3 linked regions of the Cricetulus griseus genome follow. The protein of the gene in region 2 interacts with the protein of the main gene of each other region in a biochemical or structural test. Links are inferred from orthologs where the notes say so. Each region holds a gene or a part of one and is shown on either strand. Other genes may lie near its edges.

Region 1 (3,750 bases), on a different chromosome or scaffold from region 2:
ACACAAAAAATTGTTTCAGCTTTAAGCAGACAGGGAGGGAGGGAGAGCAAAACCCCTTCCACCATTTGCTGTTCCAAGTTTGCCTCAGTTTTGCTTTTTTTTTTTTTTTTTTTTGCTTTATTACTATGGTATGAGTGTGTATACAAGCTACAGGGGCTGTAAGGATTAGAGGACAACTCTTGGGAGTCTGTTCTCTTGTTTTCACTGTGGATTCCAGGAGTTGAACTCAGGCCATCAGACTGGGTGGCATTTCACTGAGTTTTCTCACTGACTCTGATTTATTATCTTTCCAAAGATTTTATTTTATATTTACTTGTGTGTGTGTGTGTGTGTGTGTGTGTGTGTGTGTGTGTGTGTGTGTAGATTATGTGCATGTGTGTGCGGGTGACCTCAGAAGCCACAGGCGTTGGAGCTGTAGTTAGAGGTGGTTGAGTGCTGCGTGGCATGGGTGCTAGGATCTGAACCCTCTGTAAGAGCCGTATATGCTTAACCACTAAGCCAGCTCTCCAGCCCTCTAATTCGCTGAGAGCTGCGGGTCTCTACACACTGAGTGCTGGGATTAAAGGCGTGTGCCACCCTGCCTGGCAACCTTGCCTTCTTACAATGAACATTTATTGAGCATCTAAGTGCTGTTGGCTGGAGACCTTCGTGCCTGCAAGGTACTGTCCAGGCCCCTGAGGACACGAGGGACCGTGTGTTTTTGGCGTGTTAAGGCGCGAGGCTTAGCATGCGTGCCTCTTGCAAAGCCCCAGTATAGACAGTACTGCAGATGTACAGGTGGGTCTGGTGCTCTCTGCCCCACCTCCCCTAGCCTTTGCCTGGAGCCTAATGTGCTGAGCACGGTGACTTGGCATATTCCTGGGGCAGGGCTCGAGGTCTGAGGAGGCGGAGCTGCGCTGTAAATATAAGGCCCGAGTCACCTCCTCTCATGCTGCTGAAGTTGCACCGCACTGCATCGCCCAAAAGTAAGTAGGAGCTGGGCGGTGAGGACGGGGCCTGGGCAGAGTTGACACCCCACCCCCACCCCCGCCATGAGGTCTTTCTTCATCGTGCTTTCTGTGTGTTTATCTCTTCTAGTGCCGCCTTACACCATCGTCTACTTCCCCTCTCGAGGTGTGGCCTCAGCGCTTTCAAGATGAAGGGCACAAATTGTAGTCCTCAGGATCGCTCCTGTGGCTCCTGTGGAGCCGGAGGGGCGTGGCAAAGGCCGTGCTGGGGTGGGACCGAGACCTGGGGCGGGACTACAGTTGTGATTGGTGGGAACAGAACTGCCCTCTCGGGCACCTTAGGTGGAGGGACTTTGTTACTCTTCCTTTCCTGGGCCATTGTGGAGCTGTGTCCCGCTCTCCTAGGTATTGGTAGGGCGTGGCCTCTACTCCGTGTCTCCCCTCCCAACGTTTTAGTTTGGTCCTTTTGTAAGCTTTCCATTCTTCCAAACTCTCCCAGGTCTCTGTTCAGTTCCCCAATCTCTGTCCCGTACCCTAATACAGGGCGCTGCGAGGTTATGCGCATGCTGCTAGCCGACCAGGGCCAGAGCTGGAAGGAGGAGGTGGTGACCTTGGATGCCTGGGAGCAGGGTACACTCAAGGCTTCTTGTGTGAGTGACTACACTAAAGTGGGGATGGCACTGGGGCGCAGCCTTAGGGTCCTGTGACTAGGGTTGGGGGCAGCCCATTGAGCACCCCTTACAGAGCTGTCTTCTCCCAGCTGTTTGGGCAGCTCCCCAAGTTCCAGGATGGAGACATCACCCTGTACCAATCTAATGCCATCCTGCGGCACCTGGGCCGCTCCTTCGGTGAGTCCTGAAGTACAACCCTGAAAGACACCTGACAGATGTCCTGCAAAATGTCCTACAGCAACCAATCTCTCACCTGGATAGAGGGCAAGCAGGTTACCCTAGAGGCAGGCTGCAGGCTCAGGTTCCAAGAGGCTCCCAGGTGTGGTGCTGGTCTGTCTGTGCACAGTGGGGGCTGTGAATTTCCAGTAAACTTGCATTATTTGTTCTAAATGACATCTCATAAGGGGCCACCAGTTTCTATGTGTGACAATGGAACAGGACTAGAGACTTCCCAGTAGACCTCACTGCCCATTTCTTCCTAACCTGGCCATACCCCAGTCAGGGAAACCCATAGTCACAGTGACGAGGCCTCAGCCTGTTTGGATGATGTCAGGAAGGTGGCAGAGGCAACTATTCTCTGTGGGCCTGGTTGGGAAAGGGGTGCCCGGAGTTCCATAAAGACATAATAACCTGAGGATGGATGGGTAGTGGGAGCAGTTCAGGCCAACTCCTCTTTTACAGGACCTAGAGAGCAGACCACGGCCTTGGGCTGGGGCCTGTCATCTTCTCATCTGCCTTGTGCATCTCACAATGTATGTGGATAGCAGCCTTCACACCCCGGTCTGTCTAGGTCCCTAGACAGCTTGTTCCAAGGGAGGGACAAAACAGAGTTTTTGACTTCCTTTGGTGTGGCAGATCCAGTGACAGGTGTGGCCCAGAAAGCAGGCCCAGGCTTCAGTTGGCTGTGGCCCTGGGGGATGGTAGACTCTTCCCTTGTGAAGGTGGCATGGCTGAGGTAGGCAGGACAGGGAAGATCTTCAATGCAAAGTAGACCCAGGCTTTGGTGTGAGCGGGTATTTAGGGACTAGCACAGAACACGAGTATGCTGCCTGCTTCCTGACCCAGGGCTCTACGGCAAAGACCAGAAAGAGGCAGCGCTGGTGGACATGGTGAACGACGGGCTGGAAGACCTCATCAGGCACCTTGGCCAGCAGCTTCTCCGAAACTATGTATGTAGGGACTGCAGGCTTGTGCAAAGCAGGGTGGTCAGGAAACGGAACTCACTTTTGTCAGTCTGGCTGCACATTCTCACCTGGGGTCATTTCTGTCCACAGGAGGAGGGCAAGGTCCAGTATCTGAAGGAACTTCCAAGACACCTGAAGCCATTTGAAACTCTGCTGGCCCAGAACAAGGGTGGCCAGTCCTTCATTGTGGGTGACCAGGTGAGCACTGGGTCAGGCCCTTCCCACTCTACTCAGATCCTTTCTCAGATCTGAGGCCAAGTTCCCTGATGCAGAAATGGAGGCAGGAAGCATCCAGTGTTTGGCTCCATGGAGTTTCTCTCCTGCCCATAGATCTCCTTTGCGGACTACCGACTGCTAGACTTGCTTCTGAACCACGAGCGTCTGTTCCCTGGCTACTTGAATGACTTTCCCATGCTCTCAGCCTATGTGACACGCCTCAGAGCCCGACCCAAGCTCAAAGCCTTCCTGGATTCCCCTGAGCATGTGAACCGCCCCATTTCTGCTCGCCTAAAGATATGAGCCCACCTGCTTCGCCCAATCCCTCCCCCTCATGGATCAATAAAAACGAGGGCAGGAGCCGGGCTGGGCTGTGGTGGCATACGACAAACACCCCCTTAATCCCAACACTCAGGAGGCAGAGGCAGGCAGATCTCTGAATTCGGTGTTCTACAGAGGGAATTACAGGACATTCAGGGCTACACAGAGAAATTCTGTCTCGAAAAATTTAAAAAAAAGAAAGAAAGAAGGGGGGCTGGAGAGATGGCTTAGCGATTAAGATCACTGACTGTTCTTCCAGAGGTCCTGAGTTCAATTCCCAGCAACCACATCGTGGCTCTCAACCACCCTGAATGAGATCTGGTGCCCTCTGCTGGCATGCAGGCACAAGACTGTATACAAAATAAATAAAATCTTAAAAAAAAAAAAAAAGAAAAGAAAAAAAGAAAAGAA
Region 2 (3,650 bases):
ATTAAGCACCCAGTCTGGGTCACTTTAGGTGGCTAAGCATATAAGACATACTTCCCATACTCTCCATTTAGCAGATGGAACATCTTTGTTGTCACCCAAGGTGGGGGAAGGAGTATTTGAATTCAACAAAGAAAAACTGAGGCAACACTTAAAACAGCCATAAAAGATTTTAAACTAGGTCCAGAGATTAGAAGGGGTATGAGCAGCTCTAGCAGAGGTAGGGCCACAAGCAGAACTCTGAGAAGCACCATGTCTGGCTCCCACTTGCAACAAGAAACTACAATTTCTTCCTTGATAATGACCACTCTTTCTCTGTCAGTCCCTTTCCCACAATCTAACTTTCACCCCATTTTTAAGAGTCAGTTAAAGTCTACTTCTCTGCTCTTTAAGACTTCTCAGTTCATTGAAGCTCAGAGAAATCTCCCTGAGATATCAACATGTACTGTCTGCTCTTTACTATCTGACAATTAAATTATTACTGCTTTGTGGTATTTAACTCTCATCATGTCTCACTGCCTTCAAAACTACACATAAACTTCCCAAATAATAAGCCTAATCCTTAACATCTATACATTTCACATTGGTAATTAATCTGTAACTTTAATATACAAAGGTTCTATTTGTGGCTAGCTCTCAAAATGTGATGAATTATATTTTCTACACCAGAAAGTATGGAACTAATATTTTATAAATTCCTTTGGAATAACATGTCACTGGCCAGCACTTTTCAGTTTAGTGGTTCATAAAACTGTCCTTTCTGCAATTCTCGAGTTGTTTATGTCCTCCCAGTTTGGAAACTGTCCCATTAAGATAATCATAAACATATCAATATGCTTAATGCAAACTATGCATTAGATGCTTAATGCAAACATCTAACTGCAGCCAGATGGTGGTGGCGCATGCCTTTAATCCCAGCACTCCAGAAGCAGAGAGAGGGGATCTCTGTGAGTTCGAGGCCAGCCTGGTCTTCAAAGAGAGTTTACTCCAAAACCTACAGTGAAACCTTGTCTCAAAACAAAACAAAACAAAAAAACATCTAACTGGGGCTGCAGAGATGTCTCAGCAGTTAAGAGTACTGTCTGATTTCTCTTTCAGAGGTCCTGAGCTCAATTCCCAGAAACCACATAGTGGCTCAGAAACCATCTATAATGGGATCTGATGCCCTCTTTTGTCATGAAAAACAAACAAACAAACAAAAATCTGTTCATTTTCAAATTGAATGAAAACTTTATTTTCAAGTTAGAAATGTTTTCCTTGTTCTCTGTAAATATTTCCAAATTTTAGTTCAACTATTATTATCAGTGGTTATCTGAGTAAAAGTATTGATACCACTTAAAAGAAGTCAGAATTGGGTGCAGAGAAGTATCTTGAATTTTGTGTTAAGTTTCAATGTCCAAGTACAATGGGAATGTACATTTCTGTACAGTTTTCTGAAATGCCAGCTTTACATGCAACAACAAAACTAAGATGAGAAAAATTCTGAATAAAATGATTTTTAAAAAAAATATTTATGTATATGAGTGACTTGTCTCCATGCACAGCAGAAGAGGGCACCAGATCCCATTACAGAAGGTTGTGAACCACCATGTGGTTGCTGAGAATTGAACTCAGGACCTCTGGAAGAGAAGTCAGTGCACTTAACTGCTGAGCCAATCTCCAGCCCAATAAAATGATTTTCAAACATTTCCTTAAAATTCTTTCTATAAATTAAATGCCAGGAAACTACCCAATCTAAATTTCACAACTCATTTTTTCCCCTTTTGGTACTACTTACTAATGGGGGTAAGGGGAGGGGGTGGAAGGAAGATCAGTCTGTAGATTTTAAATGTTTCAATCTAGAGAAGTAATTTAAATCTCCTAATATTAAAAAATAAAAAAGCCTTTGACAGGCATGTATTCATGAATAAATCTTGATTTCACTTACAGTGAAGAAACATGAAATATTCACTTACATTTTTGTGATTAACACATTTCATAAGAACTAGTTCTCGGTAGGCTCGCTTAGCATGAGTCTGATTCTGAAATGGCCGGCTGAGCTTCTTGATTGCAACATTTCTTTCAAGAATAGCATCATAAGCTGCACTGTAATAAGAAATAATAAAAAAAAGTTAGGCACAAAGTTCTAAAATCAAACTTATAGAGCAATCACATAGACTCCTTCCTTTTTTCACCAAGACTGTGTCACTCAAGATCAATAAGCACAGGTGGACAGGTGGGCACGTGTGCATAAGTTCTTTTTATCTTACTTTTTAAATTGCATTTAAAAAATGTATCCATTTTGTATGTATATGTTTAGGGGTGGGTAAGGGTGTCATGTGGAAGACAGAAGACGACTTGTATGAATCTCCAGGATCCACCATATGAATCCTGGAGATTGAATGAACTCAGGCAGTCAGGCTTAATGGCAGGTTCCTTTCTTTACACCTACTGTGCTATTGATATGCCAATTCCCAGTATTAGTCTGAAGTCTAAATGACTCTTTCACCTTGCAGCTCTATCAAGAAAGACAGGCTACATGAGCATGACTTCTACTTAAAATATTTACTGAGAATTTTGGGGCTGGAAAGATGACTCAGTAGTTAAGGACACAAGCTGCTCTCCCATAGGACACAGGTTTGATTCCCAGAACCCATATGGCAGATCACAACCATCTACAACTCCAGTTCGAGGGATCCAATGTCCTCTTCTGGCCTCCGTAGGTACCCAAATAGCACACAGATATATAAGCAGGCAACACACATAAGACACCCCATCCATCCATCCATCCATCCATCCATCCATCCATCCATCCATCCATCCAAATTTTTTTACAATGTATTTACCAAAGAATACTGTAGTGTTTTAATCCTTTAGGACACAAGACAGCAAGTACAGAAAGGAAGCTATACTAGAGGATGTATACAAAAGACTAAAAAACAAATCCTTTAACATTTTGTTTTGGAGGAGGAACTAAAAACTCAAAGTATTGATAAGTATGAATGCTAGATCTGAGGACCTGAGAAAAGAATAAAAACCAGTGTTTCTATTATATAATTCTGTTAAATTTTAATATTTTACCATAATTGTTCTGATTTTTTTAAAAAGAGAAACATACTACAGGTAAAGACTTTCTCTTCTGTTCTCAGAGGTAAGCTTTTATCTTTTCTACATATGTACTCAATCCTAAGTATATGGAACTGCTTTGCATATTTTACATTACATAGAAATAAGACAATATAGTATATTTTTGTGTATTGCTTTAATACTCAGGTCTATACTTCAGATGGTATCCAGGTGACATATACAGCTCCAGTTCACTTTAAATGTTGCACAGTATATTGCTGTTCGAATGTATCACATATTCTCCTGCTGCCAGACCGGATGCTGTTTCAACTTTTGCTATTAGAAATAACGCTTCAAAGAACAGCCTTATGTACATGTATTTGTGGACATAAGCAAGAGCTTTTCTAGAACCTTATAAACATGCTGGATCATAAACACTCCCAATTTCTTTTCTAACACACTTTAAACAAATTTTGTTTAAGTAGTAATAAAGATGTAATTATCCTTGGGTATGGCTTAGCATTTCCCCAAACACTAAATTATAATGCTAACTTAGTGATTCTGAATCAGTAGTAGAACTATCCCAAGAACTGCTATCTACTTCAATT
Region 3 (3,750 bases), on a different chromosome or scaffold from region 2:
GATTGACTAAGTGCCCTGGAGACCAAAGTTACTGGAAGACCCATCCTTTCTGTAGAACCTCTAAAACACTCTAGAGATCTTGCCTCCAATTTGTATTTTCCACATGACTTTATGCTTTGCCCTTTTTTGTTATTTTGTAGACTTCGACCCACCTCCTCACACTTTTAATTCTTTTCCTAGATATTTGTATCTGTGCCCTTTGTATTACTATAAACAATGAACCAATTCATGGACTGGGGATGAAGTTCAATTGGTAGAGTGCCTATCACACATGAAGTGCTAAATTCATAGGTCTACCTGAGTGGGATCAGGAGTAGGCAGGAAGATCATGAGACCCTTGAAATGAATTTTAAAAGTGTCAATTCAAAGTGATTTGTTTCCATGGCCATTAGCCCTTTACTTCAGATCTTAAGGTTTATTGTCTCTCTTTCACAACCTTGATTTGTTCCCTAAATGGTTCCAAGAGTTCTAAATAGATCTAGTTTCCACCAAAAGGCACAGATCCTGCCCTTCTTGCTACAGGGCCTATAACCTAGAGTCCAGTCTTAGATAACTAAGAGCCAAGTTCCACCCTTATAACTCAGGCTGCAGCCTAAGCCTGCCCTTGCAGACAGTTCATTTCCACCCCTCAACTCCCCTGTATATCTGGCCTCCTACCTCTGCTGAATTCTAAATTCGTCTTGCCTAGCTAATTACCATAGCGTTACCCTACCCTCCTACATAGAGTCAAGCCCTACCCTGCTGCTATTCCCTGTTCTAAATAAGTCCTGTTTCCGCTGAACCACATGGTGTGCAGCACCACCTACTTTGGTGTTTTGGCAGCTGTCTCGGTGTCTCTACCAATCAGCTGAAAGCAGAGCCCATCCACCGCCCCTTTATCCTCTGGGGTTGTCTGTCTGCCATCAATCTCATTTAGGCCAATCGGTATGAACCAGGCGCGCTCCCCACCCCCACCCCCCAACCTTGGCACTTGCCCACTTGGCTACAAGTCCTCCTTGACCCAATCAGGGTGAAGCACTAGTGCCGCCCAATACCTCTCTAGTTGGCCATCTGCAGCCCATCAATCCCCTTCAAGCCAATCATGTCACAGCTCTGTTAGGATTCCACCACCAGGCCCCAAAGCTTTGCCTACATCCTTGACTTTTTGGCCAATCAGCGAGTAGCAGGGCGCTCGGCTCCTCCCCTGAGGGCCCACGTGAGCGTTGGGGAAACGCAGGGGCGGCTTTTGGGTGCTGCCGCCGCCACCACCACTGCTGCTGCTCCCGCCGCTGCTACCACCGCCGCCGCCGCCTTAGAACTCGGGCCTGGGGGGCGGTGGGGCCTCGTATGGAGCCCCCGCCCCCCGGAGCTGCCGCTGCCACCGCCGCGCCACACGCAGGTGAGCCCCAGGCCCTCAAGGTGGAGGGCCCCGTCCGTGACCCCATGTATCCTCGCCCCCGCGCAGGGGATGTGGCTTGGCCCAGCCTGCCGGTGTTTGGCTCCACTGCCACCAACTGATTTCCCCTGTGTGTGCATTGCCAGCTCCTTTGCCCCTTATAGTGGATCTGAGCGTGGCCTAACCTCCTGCTATCTCTGTATAATGGATCTGTCTGCGAGCTTGTTTTTCCTCACCCCAACTTAATGGACTCGTCCGTGGTCTTGCCCTCCCCAACCCCCACTTACTGGGAATAAGTCTGTTAAATTGTCCAGTCTTCCTTTAGTAGTAGCTGCTTCTAAAGTGTTTGCATGTCTCCTTAGCCTCAACTTTAAGGGGATCCTCTGTGGCCTTCTTTATTGAGCCCCTCATGTTTCGTTGTCGTCAATCTGTGGCGCTGTACCCCCTCCAGAGACCCCATATTTGTTTAACAGTGAGTCCACCTGAGTTTTTATTTCTGCCCCCTTGATTTCCCCAGTGCATACACCCATGACTTTACCCACGTCCTCCCGCTGCCCCCATCTTACTCTGGATTAGTCTGCATGCTTGCATTCACATCCCTCTAGCTAACACTGCCCTAACTTTTCTCCCTTATTGGTAGACTCCAGCCTTTGGGCTGCTTCCTTTTAACAATGGGTCAGTTTGGTGCTTTGTATATATATATTTTTTTTTTAATTTTCGGCGGCCCAGTCTATTGTCTTGTCTCTCGTTTTAATCATTATGTGATGGCTCTTCTCTGCTATTGCATAGTAGTCAGCAGCCTCCTGCCACCTCAGTGTTTGCATTCTCTCATATCCTTCTGAATCCAGTGCTTGCAGTCCCTCCCCAAGAAAGATAGGGCTTGTACTTTATTTCCCTCCTCCTCTCCATGTGTTGAATCAATCTTCCCTGCCCCCATCTCTTAGGTGATCCTGTGTTATGTGAGAAACCCAGGGACTTTTACTATACAGTTTACATGTTTTCTCGTAGACATTCTTATCCACTTAGACATTTTGCCTTCCTACAGTTCTCAAGTACAGTAATGGTACTGATGTTAATGACAGTCAGAGATAACCTTTACACTTTACACTTGCTGTGGACCAGACAGAGTGTTCTATAGTCTCCAGCTTGCTTAGTCCTCATCACAGCCCTGTGAGACAGGCAGCTGAGAAAACTGGGGCATATGGAGATGAAAAACCTGACTCACAAATGGTCCAATAACTACTTAGAGCAAGGAACATTGTGAAGTGCCCCCTCTCACCTCATTGCATCCCACATGAGAGCACATTCTTAAACAGCCAAATTAGTTCAAATTACCAGGCTTTTGTTTCTGCTGTTCCTTCTGTCAACAGCTATCTCCATTCCACACTGGTCCAAAACCTATCATCCCCCAGTCCCAGCAGTGCTGTGATTTTATATGAATGCCTTAACTACTTTCTTCCTGTACTATCCTGAAATGGGGAGTCAGGAACTATAATCATTTCCAGTGTGGAGAAAAAATATGTGACTTAATTAAACCAGTCACCTCTCTGACCTTACCTCCTTTCCCTCCCTATTTCAGACCCATAGTACAACCTGTTCTTCACTGCTTCTGGAAAACAGCAGGTACAGGCCCACCTCAGGGCCTTTGCACTGGCTCTTCTTTCTCCCTTAACACTACTCCCACATTTCTGTATGATAACTTCCAAGGCCCCATTCAGTTACCATACCCAAAAGAATTTTTTCACCACACTGTGCAGGAAACACACTACAGATGTTTCTAAGAATTCCATTTGATTCTTAAGTAAGTGTAAAAGGATGCATTAACAGAAATGTGATGTTGGTAATATGGAAAGGCACAAATAGAGGCAGAGGCAGACAGATCTCTGTGAGTTCAAGGCCAGCTGGTCTACAAGAGCGAGTTCCAGGACAGCCTCCAGAGCCACAGAGGCACAAATAGAAGATGTTTCAGAGACTGTTTTCATTTCTTTGCATCTGGGTAGTGTTCTTTCAGTGAAACATGTATTTGTCACACTGGTGCTTAGAATATATTATATAAAGGCACATGAATAAAAGTGTTTCAAAGGATACTTTTTGTGTGAAAACAAAATAGTCAACATCCACCCCTCCCCTTGACCATCTGATTTTGTGCATTCAGCAGCATTCTTCCCTGCTTGCTTTGTTCCTTTCTACTCTGTCACTGTTAGAAATGCTATACAGTTCATATATTGTCTGTCTCTCCTCCTCAGGATGGAGGTCCTATGGGGACTTATAGGTTTTATCTGCTTATTCAGTTCTCTGTCCTCATCTAAAAATGTACCTTCTGTACAGTAGATACTTGGAAGATATATATATATATATATATATATATATATATA

The links. The genes of interacting proteins can lie anywhere in the genome.
Region 1: the proteins of Mapk8 (region 2) and glutathione S-transferase P 2 form a complex in vitro, tested with the Homo sapiens proteins (2 studies listed by BioGRID). The link is inferred for Cricetulus griseus from reciprocal best matches to the Homo sapiens genes MAPK8 and GSTP1.
Region 3: of the proteins of Mapk8 (region 2) and Elk1, one has a biochemical effect on the other in vitro, tested with the Homo sapiens proteins (3 studies listed by BioGRID). The link is inferred for Cricetulus griseus from reciprocal best matches to the Homo sapiens genes MAPK8 and ELK1.

Annotation. Positions count from the first base shown.
Region 1 is NC_048596.1:55,181,523-55,185,272, forward strand, and holds glutathione S-transferase P 2, read left to right. Parts: upstream 1-875; 5' UTR 876-928; coding exon 929-965; intron 966-1,077; coding exon 1,078-1,113; intron 1,114-1,249; exon of another isoform or gene 1,250-1,352; intron 1,353-1,490; coding exon 1,491-1,597; intron 1,598-1,707; coding exon 1,708-1,795; intron 1,796-2,683; coding exon 2,684-2,787; intron 2,788-2,892; coding exon 2,893-3,000; intron 3,001-3,132; coding exon 3,133-3,321; 3' UTR 3,322-3,383; downstream 3,384-3,750. UniProt on the Homo sapiens protein: Conjugation of reduced glutathione to a wide number of exogenous and endogenous hydrophobic electrophiles. Involved in the formation of glutathione conjugates of both prostaglandin A2 (PGA2) and prostaglandin J2 (PGJ2).
Region 2 is NW_023276807.1:185,992,964-185,996,613, reverse strand, and holds part of Mapk8 (mitogen-activated protein kinase 8), read right to left. Parts: intron 2,083-3,650; coding exon 1,953-2,082; intron 1-1,952. UniProt on the Homo sapiens protein: Serine/threonine-protein kinase involved in various processes such as cell proliferation, differentiation, migration, transformation and programmed cell death.
Region 3 is NC_048604.1:125,801,331-125,805,080, reverse strand, and holds the start of Elk1 (ETS domain-containing protein Elk-1), read left to right. Parts: upstream 1-1,203; 5' UTR 1,204-1,378; intron 1,379-3,750. UniProt on the Homo sapiens protein: Transcription factor that binds to purine-rich DNA sequences. Forms a ternary complex with SRF and the ETS and SRF motifs of the serum response element (SRE) on the promoter region of immediate early genes such as FOS and IER2.